Kluyveromyces lactis: one gene and its partner. The protein of the gene in region 1 interacts with the protein of each later gene in a biochemical or structural test. Links are inferred from orthologs where the notes say so. Each region holds a gene or a part of one and is shown on either strand. Other genes may lie near its edges.

Region 1 (4,526 bases):
ATCGTCATATTTTGACTAACTTTTTGATCTTATATATACATGTATATTTTTTTTAGCATATTGGCAATAGGTGTAAGATGACAGACAGTCGAAAGTAGCCACAGATAGTTTGTAATGACAAACATGTATTCTTATGTTATACATATCACTTGTGTAAGGTTGTGTGCAAAGTAAGATTTTGCTATTTCATGGTTTCAATATCTACATAAAAAATGGTATGTACGCAACTTGGAAGCACCTTTTAAACTTACTTCGAGATTCTTGTCTTCATGTTTTGTAAGAATTCTCTGTAGTTCCAGCTGTTTTGGACCTTATCTTCGACCAACTGAGATGCAGTCCATAATCTTAGAGAAGCAACTTCCCTGGCAGAAGGATGGTTCATTGGTTCACTTGGTGAGGCGCCTCTGACAATGTGCAAGGTTTTGTAGAAGATAACATCATCGTGTTCTCTTATCTTTGTAATAACATTCCTCACTCTTAGGTTGAACTCAGTAGCGTCTAATAGAGGTAGTTCATTTTTACCAATTGGAATTTCCATAATGTCCGGGGTTCCAAACACGTCTGTAACAAGCTCTGGGACAGCATCACCGCCAATCCATAAGAACATGTCCAATCCTGTGTCGATTAAATACAGACCGTATCTTTCCAATAAAGACGAGGTGGAGTTAATTGGTTGCGGTAGTACAATTTCACCAGTTTCTTCATCGGGAAGACCAGCTTCGTCAGGCATGTCATGTAAGGAGTATACTGTTGGATAAATGTTTTGAATCAAATATGGCAATGGTAACGTTTCAAGATTATTTAATGCTTGAGCTCTGTGATCAGCCGGAACAATACCAGAACGGAAAGCCATATGTTTAGTTAGAGAATGCATCAATAGAGGCCACATTCTTAGGTTACTACAGAGCATTAATGGAGCTCCGCCACCTGTGTTTGAAGTCAAAACTTCTTTCTTGTATGTAGCCAAAACCTCTTGGACAGATTTGTTGAAAAATTCTCTAGTGTCTTCAAAGCCAGAAGAAGGAGCTCTTTCCACAGCCTTTTGAGCGAAGTATGCTGTGATGGCCAACTGATCTGCAGAAGCATAGACTTCAGTTAGCTTATCAGTAGTTGGAATACCAATAGTTATGACTCTAATTCTTCTTTGGGCAGCATTGGATGTCAATAATAAAGCAATTTGAATGTACACAAAGTCCTTTGTTAATTGTTCATCGATACCAATTTCAAAAACGTATGATTGGTCCCTTGGAACCGTAGCCAAAGCGCACAAGTCTGAAGATCTATTGAAGAAATGACCGTAAAATCCGGTCATTTTCAAGCCTGACGAACCACGAGCTCTCATAACAGCTTCCAAAGATAGATCCATGGATACGTGTTTTGAAAATTCTTTTGAGAACTTTGTAACATCGATCAAGTTTAAGGCACTGAAACCAGGGTAGAAATGGGTTTGGCCACCAGTGAAACGGCCTAGGTTAGAGATAGATGCGATATCGACATAATCGTCGGAAGCCATAAACATATCCACCGTAACTTGATATTTGTTACATTCGATAGGGAAAGATTTGTAGAATGCGTCACCAGTGTTCAATAAAGTGGAAGCTTCCTTGGAAGTATTTGCAACAGCCTTTTCATTTCTCTTATGTAATGTACCTTCACCGACGTTGGCCAAAGTGGCACCAACAACAATAATCTTACCACCCTGAGCTCTGATCAAGTTCAAAGCAGACTTTAGAGCAGAGGCCAAGGCAAATCTTGGTTGAATATTTTGTTGGAAAATTTCTGGTAAGCTAGTCAATAATTTTTCAATGTTGCTTCTAGCCTCAATTAGTGGAACCAATAGGCCAGTGGGAGAAGGTAAGAATGGTTCATCCAAGTCAGCGACGTCGTACATCTTAATGTTGTCACCTTCTTCGTCCAAAGGAATACGGAAGTAATGTAGAGATTGATCAACACAAATAATAGAGATTCTTGTTCTCTCATCATGGTTTGGAATGGTATCCAAGCTTTCCAAGAGAGTTCTTGCAGCAGTAGCCAACAAGCCATTCTTGATTGATGCCTGAGAAACGTCCAAAATGAAAGCGTAAGTGGATGGTGGTGGTGGTCTGACAGCGTATTCTTTAGGAGCAACGAAATCCACAACAGAATGGTTGAATTCGGGTCTCTCGTAACGGTTACCATTCATATCAATTGCTTGAGGGAAGTTGTTCGCCAAGTTACAGAAGTTACATCTCCAACGTAAACCATTCTCGATTACTTGTACGAAGGGGTTCAAGTAGGCACGACAACGTCTACAACGAACCACAACACCGTCTTCGCTAGTTGGCACTGGACATTCAGAGTCGGTTAACTTAGTGTATGGTCTGATAACCATAGCTAATGGTAGTTTCGATTTTTTCAGTAAAGAATTGTTTTTTGGAACGGCGTTCAAAGTGCACCTTAAATGGTCAGAACAATTGTTAACTGTATCGTTAGGAACAATCATCTTCTCTGGAGGGAGCATCAACGGTGGTGGAGGCAAAGACAAGTCAGTGATTGGAGGAGGCAATTCTTGGAACAAATCAACTGGGTACAATTGATTCATTGGTTTACCCACAGCCATTCCTACTCCTGGTTGTTGATATTGTGGTTGCTGCTGCTGTTGTCCGTACGTTTGCCCATACGGCTGTTGCATTGGCTGCTGATACTGCTGCTGAACACCGGATATGTTATCGGCGCCGTAGCCACTGTTCATTGGCTGGCCATATTGAGGAGCCCCACCGTATGGTGGTTGTTGCACCGGGGTTCCAGCTTGCTGGAATGCAGTAGGATCAACCACAGGAACGTTGTGTAATTGCATATTACCAATGCCGTTACTTGCTTGGTCGATCTGTTGATGCAAATGTTGTTGAGCAGGAGTCAGAAATTGCGGCTGTCCAGCACCTACAGTTTGCGGAGGAACACCTCCACCAACAATTGGCTGTGCAATCCCTTCTGCAATTTGGTACTGAGCCTGAGGATAAACACGCTTCTTATGGTGTGACATGGTTCAGTATAATTTGATCTCCTGTATCACTCGATTGTCTGTAACTCTTTCTCTTTTATCTGCAAAAAATACAATGCAAAGAGCCTTCTCCTTTATAAACTTCTGATAAGTCGCCTAGATCCTGACACAGTTATTGACTCTACCAAGTTGAAGATCCAAAAGAGTAGATGCCTCAATCGATGGCAATTGAATATCAAATGTGTGTATTGTTTTTATAATTTTCGGCCCGTTTTGTTATTGTCGAAGAATCGAAATTTGGGTTTTTGGATTTTTGAAATTTTTTTTTTATTTGGTTTCCTTTCAAGATAACTGCTAAATAAACTGACGCGGTTTGAGAGGCTTTTTCCAGCGTATGTATATGGTTGCTGCTTTATTAGCCAATTGCTCAGTCGATGTTAGCTACATATATTGTATTTCTTTGATCATTGACATATGTGTATTGTATGCTGCAGTTCGTATTTGTATATTGACAGCTGTCAGATTTTAATAATAATATTCGGGTAACATCATAGTTCGTGTTCTCTCAGAATCACATAGTTAAGTAATTAATGTCGACGTGGTCATTGTAGAAGATAAAACTTTCGGGCAGATTGTGGGTCACTGATACTCCCTCCAGACACTGTACGGGCTTTAACGAACCTACCTGTGGTTATGCAGTGCTTTATTTGTTGATGGATATTTAGAGATATAAACCTTGCTATATCACGTGATATGAAAGTTCGAGGTCTGCTTATTTTATTTACAATGTGCGTAGATTTTGGATCAGATCTTTAAACAAGATGTCTCGAAGGTAAAACGATTTTAAATACGAGCAATCCATCCATTGTTCCTAGTATTCGATATCATAAGGTTCTACACTGGTAATTCAGCTAATACCTGTGACTGACACTCAAATCTGCTTCTTTTTCCCACTGGTACACCATAGAATACCCTTAATTAAATCAAGTGATGTCCCAAATCCAATTTTACAACATCAAGAACGGAGAAGAGGTTCATACACCCGCACTTATTGTCCACGGAAATATAAATACAAATGCCAATTCTGTCCAAGTGCATCATTCGCAGCTCCCTCCCTTAACGTTTCCCGTTAACAACCACGGATTCAAGTGCATTATTTCTTTGACTCCTGGTGAAAACTTACTATGGTTCACTGGAAATGACAATTCTACGGCGCAATTAACTATTCAATACGTACCATTGTTACAGAACCCGCCAATTCATCTATGTCTACTACTCGCTAAAGATTCTCCTCTGAAATATGATGCACCAGCTGTACAGATTCGTAAGGAGGGTGGTAACGGTCTCGATTTGGCCATAAAGAAATTGAGAACTGGTGCACGGATCATGCAAGCTTTCACTAATGAACAAATGGTTCGTAACGGCGTCGGTCAAAGAACTTTCCGATTCGTGGAAGAATTCACGAAGGATACCCTCCTAAAGGATGACGAGTTAAGAAACACCGTTAAGATTCATATTCTAAAAAGTGAGAAGACTACCGTGGAGC
Region 2 (4,426 bases), about 150 kb from region 1:
AGCTGGAGGCATTAAAGGATTTGATATTTGCTGTGGCATTTGAGAAGATTGTACAGCGCTGACAGTAGGCGCATAAGAGTTCGTCTTTTTTAATGGTAGCGGAGGAGATGCAACTTCGGGTGGGGAAGTAAGCTTTGGTGTTCTTCTCACATTAGGCGGTGGTGGTGGGAGCGTTGAGTTTGTAGATGCTCTCGAAAGTGGAACCGCTGCAAGATCGGGGGTACCATACGATGGAGTTGACATGCCAATTGGAGCTGTGTTGACAGCCTTGGCACGGGTTGGTTTTTCTTTGCTTACTGATGGGAGATCATTCCAACCGTCGATTGGTTTATCATGTAGATGAGGCGTTTGACCAGAATATCCACTAGCACCGGAAATTGGTGGCGGAGCGACTGGAGAGCCAAGTGGTACAGGCGCTGCCACAGGTAGTGGGGCATATGGGTTAGGTGGGATACTTGTAGCAGTTTGTGCATATGGGTTCACTGGTGGCGTGTAAGATGGTCTGGAACCCACAACAGATAGAGGAATTTGCTGATTTACCGCAGCCGGAGCATATGGATTGGGTGTTGGAATTGCAGAAGTTGTCTGTGGAACGAAGCTTGGCTTTCTTGGGACGACATTTGGAGCAGTTGAGGCAGGAGGCTGATGAGGAGCAGCCAAAGGATTTGGGGGAGGAATTCCAGAGTTTGATAAACGAGGCGCACCATTGGCAGTTGGTACGGAAGTTGAACCGTATCTTCCTTGTCTGGATTGTAGGGTACTGTTTGCTGTCCTTTCTGTTGACCTAGTAGTACTTGTTTTACCGGAGGCAATCAGCACACGTTGCTTTTCACTTTTAACCTCTTCGTTATCGTCCGGTAAAGTTTCCAAAAATCTTAATGAAAGCTCGAAATCGCCATTGGCAGCTGTGACATTGACGAATTCCAAAAACTTTGAGATTAGCGTTTGATTAGTTAATTTAACAGTACCTTTGTCAAGGTAGTCAGATAACACGGTGAACCTTTCCACAAATTCAGTTAAACATTCCAGATGGGCCTCGTATAAGGTGTCCTTTTGAGACGTCAATTGATTTTCAAGTTCAGGGAATTCTTTCAGCCAAATTGACGCAATGCTTTCCAAGGACTGGCCGCTCAAATATAATAAAATAGCATCTTTTCTGTTTCCCTCGTGTAGTAATCTATCACCTAATTTTACTAAAAGTGAATTTTTCTTTGAGATATCTTCCTTGGTGTAGTTGAAAATGAACTGAACAGCATCTTTCCATTGAGAAACATCGATGTTTGTAACAATATCTTCAACATCGCGTTGAGCAACAGAGAATAAAGTTCTTGCCAACCCAGATTGCTCAGAATGCTTGGAAAAGTAGGCGTTCTTCGCTTTATCCGCCAACAAGGCATCATTGGAAGTAATAGCGATCACCAAAGCCTCTAATAACAAGTCCTTCTCTAAAGCCTGATTTAAAGCAGATTTCAAATCACCTTTGATCAAAAAGTTAGTGAGTGGTTTCATTGATTCAGAAAAATCAAGCTTGAAAGCGCCTTCGGGAACGAATTTGTCGTTTAGTTGGTTGAAGAAGTCAGCACCATCTTCTTCTGACTTTTTGATGATGTCTTCTTTGGCATCATCTAATGATAATGCATCTTTCAAGTAAAGTGCAGTTCCATCCATAGATAGATTCTCTAGTAAATTCCAGTCATCTTCGTTTGTTGCGTTGATCTTTTGTGATAATCTCTTATTGATCAATTTCACGAAGTCCTTGGATTTCAAGGACTCATCGAAAAGCTGATTCTTTTCCAGTCCAGAAATACAAGGTTTTACTACACTGACACCTTTACCATCATCGGATATTCTAACCAGCTTACCACCGAATGCCCATTGAGCGGCAGGAGATTTGTTGCCGTACCATTTTGGGGCTTGGATCTTGACAGTGTTAGGTTTGTCATCAACTGAGTTGGAGGTTACATTGTTCCAGAATTCATCCTCAGAAGCATGTTGCTTACTCTCATTTGCCTGAGCATCCAAGGTATTGCTCAAATTTTGCAACGTTTGAACGACGATCTTACTATCAAAGGATGCGGATGCAAATAAATCTGGAGCTTCAGGAGCAAATTTGGATTTAAAGACCCAGTTACCACGTGGAGCGAACTGAGTTAAGATGGAGCCTTCTTGCGGATTCCATAACACCGAAGTGTTATCACGACCACTGGATAACAATAGATTTTCATCTTGTTTGCACCAATCCAACGATAAAACACCCTTTGAATGTCCTTGTGATAGCACTTTCAATGGTACATGAGCATTTCTTAGATCCCACGTTAGGACAAGAGGTTCTGTATCTGAGCTAGAGGCGGTTGCAATAATGGTAGAGCTGGTTGGATGCCAGTCAACAACCGTCAATGGGACCTTAATACCAGTGGTAGAGGAACTGTGGTTCAAATGCAAAACTTGTTTCTTTGCCTTTAAATCCCACACAGATGCATACCCTGAAGAACTGGCTGATGCAAACACATGTGCCAACGATTGGTTCCATGACAACGAGGAAACTTCATCGATTGGAGTATTACTGATACCAGCCGAAAAAGGAGAATAATCTGAAGATCCGATCTTGTTTGAATCCCAAACAAAGATTTCACCTTGAGTGCCACCAGAGACAAGAACATTGTTCTGTTTGGCATTGAACTTCAATGTCTTGACAGGACCCTGATGTTTATGGATCTTAGCAACAGATTTCAAGGCTTTTGGATCGAAAAACTCAACAACACCATTTTCTAAGGCACCAGCAATTATTTTGTCATCGCCCGACCAATCCAAATCGTTGAACTTACCGTCAGCGACAACAGATCCACTAGGTTTAGACCCATCAAAAGACAATAGCGACCATAGTTCTAATGTCGAAGTACTTGAAAAATCAGCATCAATGGCTCCAGATGCAGGACCAGTCGCCAAAACTGGCACCCTATCGTGAGACCATGAAAACGTAGCCGTACGCGGATACTCAGCTAGCTTCACCATTGCTTCAAGTTATCACACGGGTATTAGCTAATATTGATGCGCAAACTCAATGCTACGTGTAACACTGTTTAGCCACCTTTTATTCTTCTGAAAAAGATCAGAACAAGCTGTTGTTTTCCTAAAATTCGGTTTACATATTTTGAATCTTCAATTTCTTTGGTTTCTTCAGTTCCCATCATTTATAAAAACTTCAGCAAATTATTTTTTTGCAGTCGAGATCTGGCCCAAAATTAGGCGAGACACCATCCAAAGGGACAACAACATGGACAATGTATACTCGAAAAGGGATCTTACTACCTATGTTACTGTACAATTATTGAGTTTATAGTAGGTATCCCGCACTAAGTACTGAATATGTTGTGTGCCTGGAGATTGCATAATCTTGAAAGCATTTATATCACGTGATCTCCCGGTGCAATTACGCCAACGCAAACCGCAGCCTGGTCGTTTATTACATAGATCAATAGTGTTGTATTGCAGTTTGGGGATCTCTGACGTTTTTTAACACAGCTTTCTTTTCTTATATTAATAGTCATTAAACCTTTTGTAGCTCAATCAAGCTTTTGGAACGGAAAATTAGTTCAGTGGCCATAAAGAACAATCGAGAGCAAGGTTTAATTGGAAAAGTAAAAACACTGAAGTATAAATGGTTAATTTAGTAGAATACAATACAATAAGTGCAATAGTACATGCAACAGTTAATCTTGAAACGACTATCACAGTCTACAGTGATACGTTGACCGAGTCAATAGCAATTATTCTGTCGTAGCTTCATACTTTCAATTATGTCTGCAGGAGAATCAAAATACTACAAGGAAGCATTAGCGGAGTATCAGGATATGGATAAAGAAGATCCTGATGCCTGGGACAAGAGAATATCGAACACAGGCTGTTACGTAGAGAATCTAGCTTTACAACTTTGCCATGCAGAGACTAATGATTGGAGACAGTGTCTTGGTGAAATGAAACTGTTCAAAGATTGTTGGCAATCCAAGGGTAATGACCAGAGAGTGGGGACAGTCGATGCAAAAGAACATTGAGATTTGCATTTACAGGTGTAAAAAGATCCTTCACTGTGAAGCTTTGTCGAAATACTCCACATATTGTATATAGACCCATTTAATTGTATATGCGAATACCCATCTGAATATTTTTAGTCTACGCAGCGCAACATTTAAATTGACATATTTTAGTTAAGGATAATGAATAATCGTTTCAATACAACATTTACACCAGAACATAACGAAATTTAACCAGTTCCCGGACCATAGGTGAAGTTTCCAAGTAGAATTACAGCAATAGTGCTTTATTGATGATTAAAAGACCATCAAATAGTAAGAAGAAGGCTAATCTTCGAAGATTGACAGGTGCATTAAGGGATTTGCTAGGCGAAGAGGAGCCAAAGAAAGAAGAG

Evidence for each region. The genes of interacting proteins can lie anywhere in the genome.
Region 2: the proteins of KLLA0_F03729g (region 1) and SEC31 form a complex in vitro, tested with the Saccharomyces cerevisiae proteins (2 studies listed by BioGRID). The link is inferred for Kluyveromyces lactis from reciprocal best matches to the Saccharomyces cerevisiae genes SEC24 and SEC31.

What each region holds. Positions count from the first base shown.
Region 1 is NC_006042.1:351,469-355,994, forward strand, and holds KLLA0_F03729g (uncharacterized protein), read right to left. Parts: upstream 3,023-4,526; coding exon 248-3,022; downstream 1-247. Other genes in the region: KLLA0_F03751g (putative metalloendopeptidase), read left to right, coding at 3,971-4,526. UniProt on the Saccharomyces cerevisiae protein: Component of the coat protein complex II (COPII) which promotes the formation of transport vesicles from the endoplasmic reticulum (ER).
Region 2 is NC_006042.1:504,593-509,018, reverse strand, and holds the start of SEC31 (Sec31p), read right to left. Parts: upstream 3,013-4,426; coding exon 1-3,012. Other genes in the region: COA4 (Coa4p), read left to right, coding at 3,798-4,052; SCM3 (Scm3p), read left to right, coding at 4,325-4,426. UniProt on the Saccharomyces cerevisiae protein: Component of the coat protein complex II (COPII) which promotes the formation of transport vesicles from the endoplasmic reticulum (ER).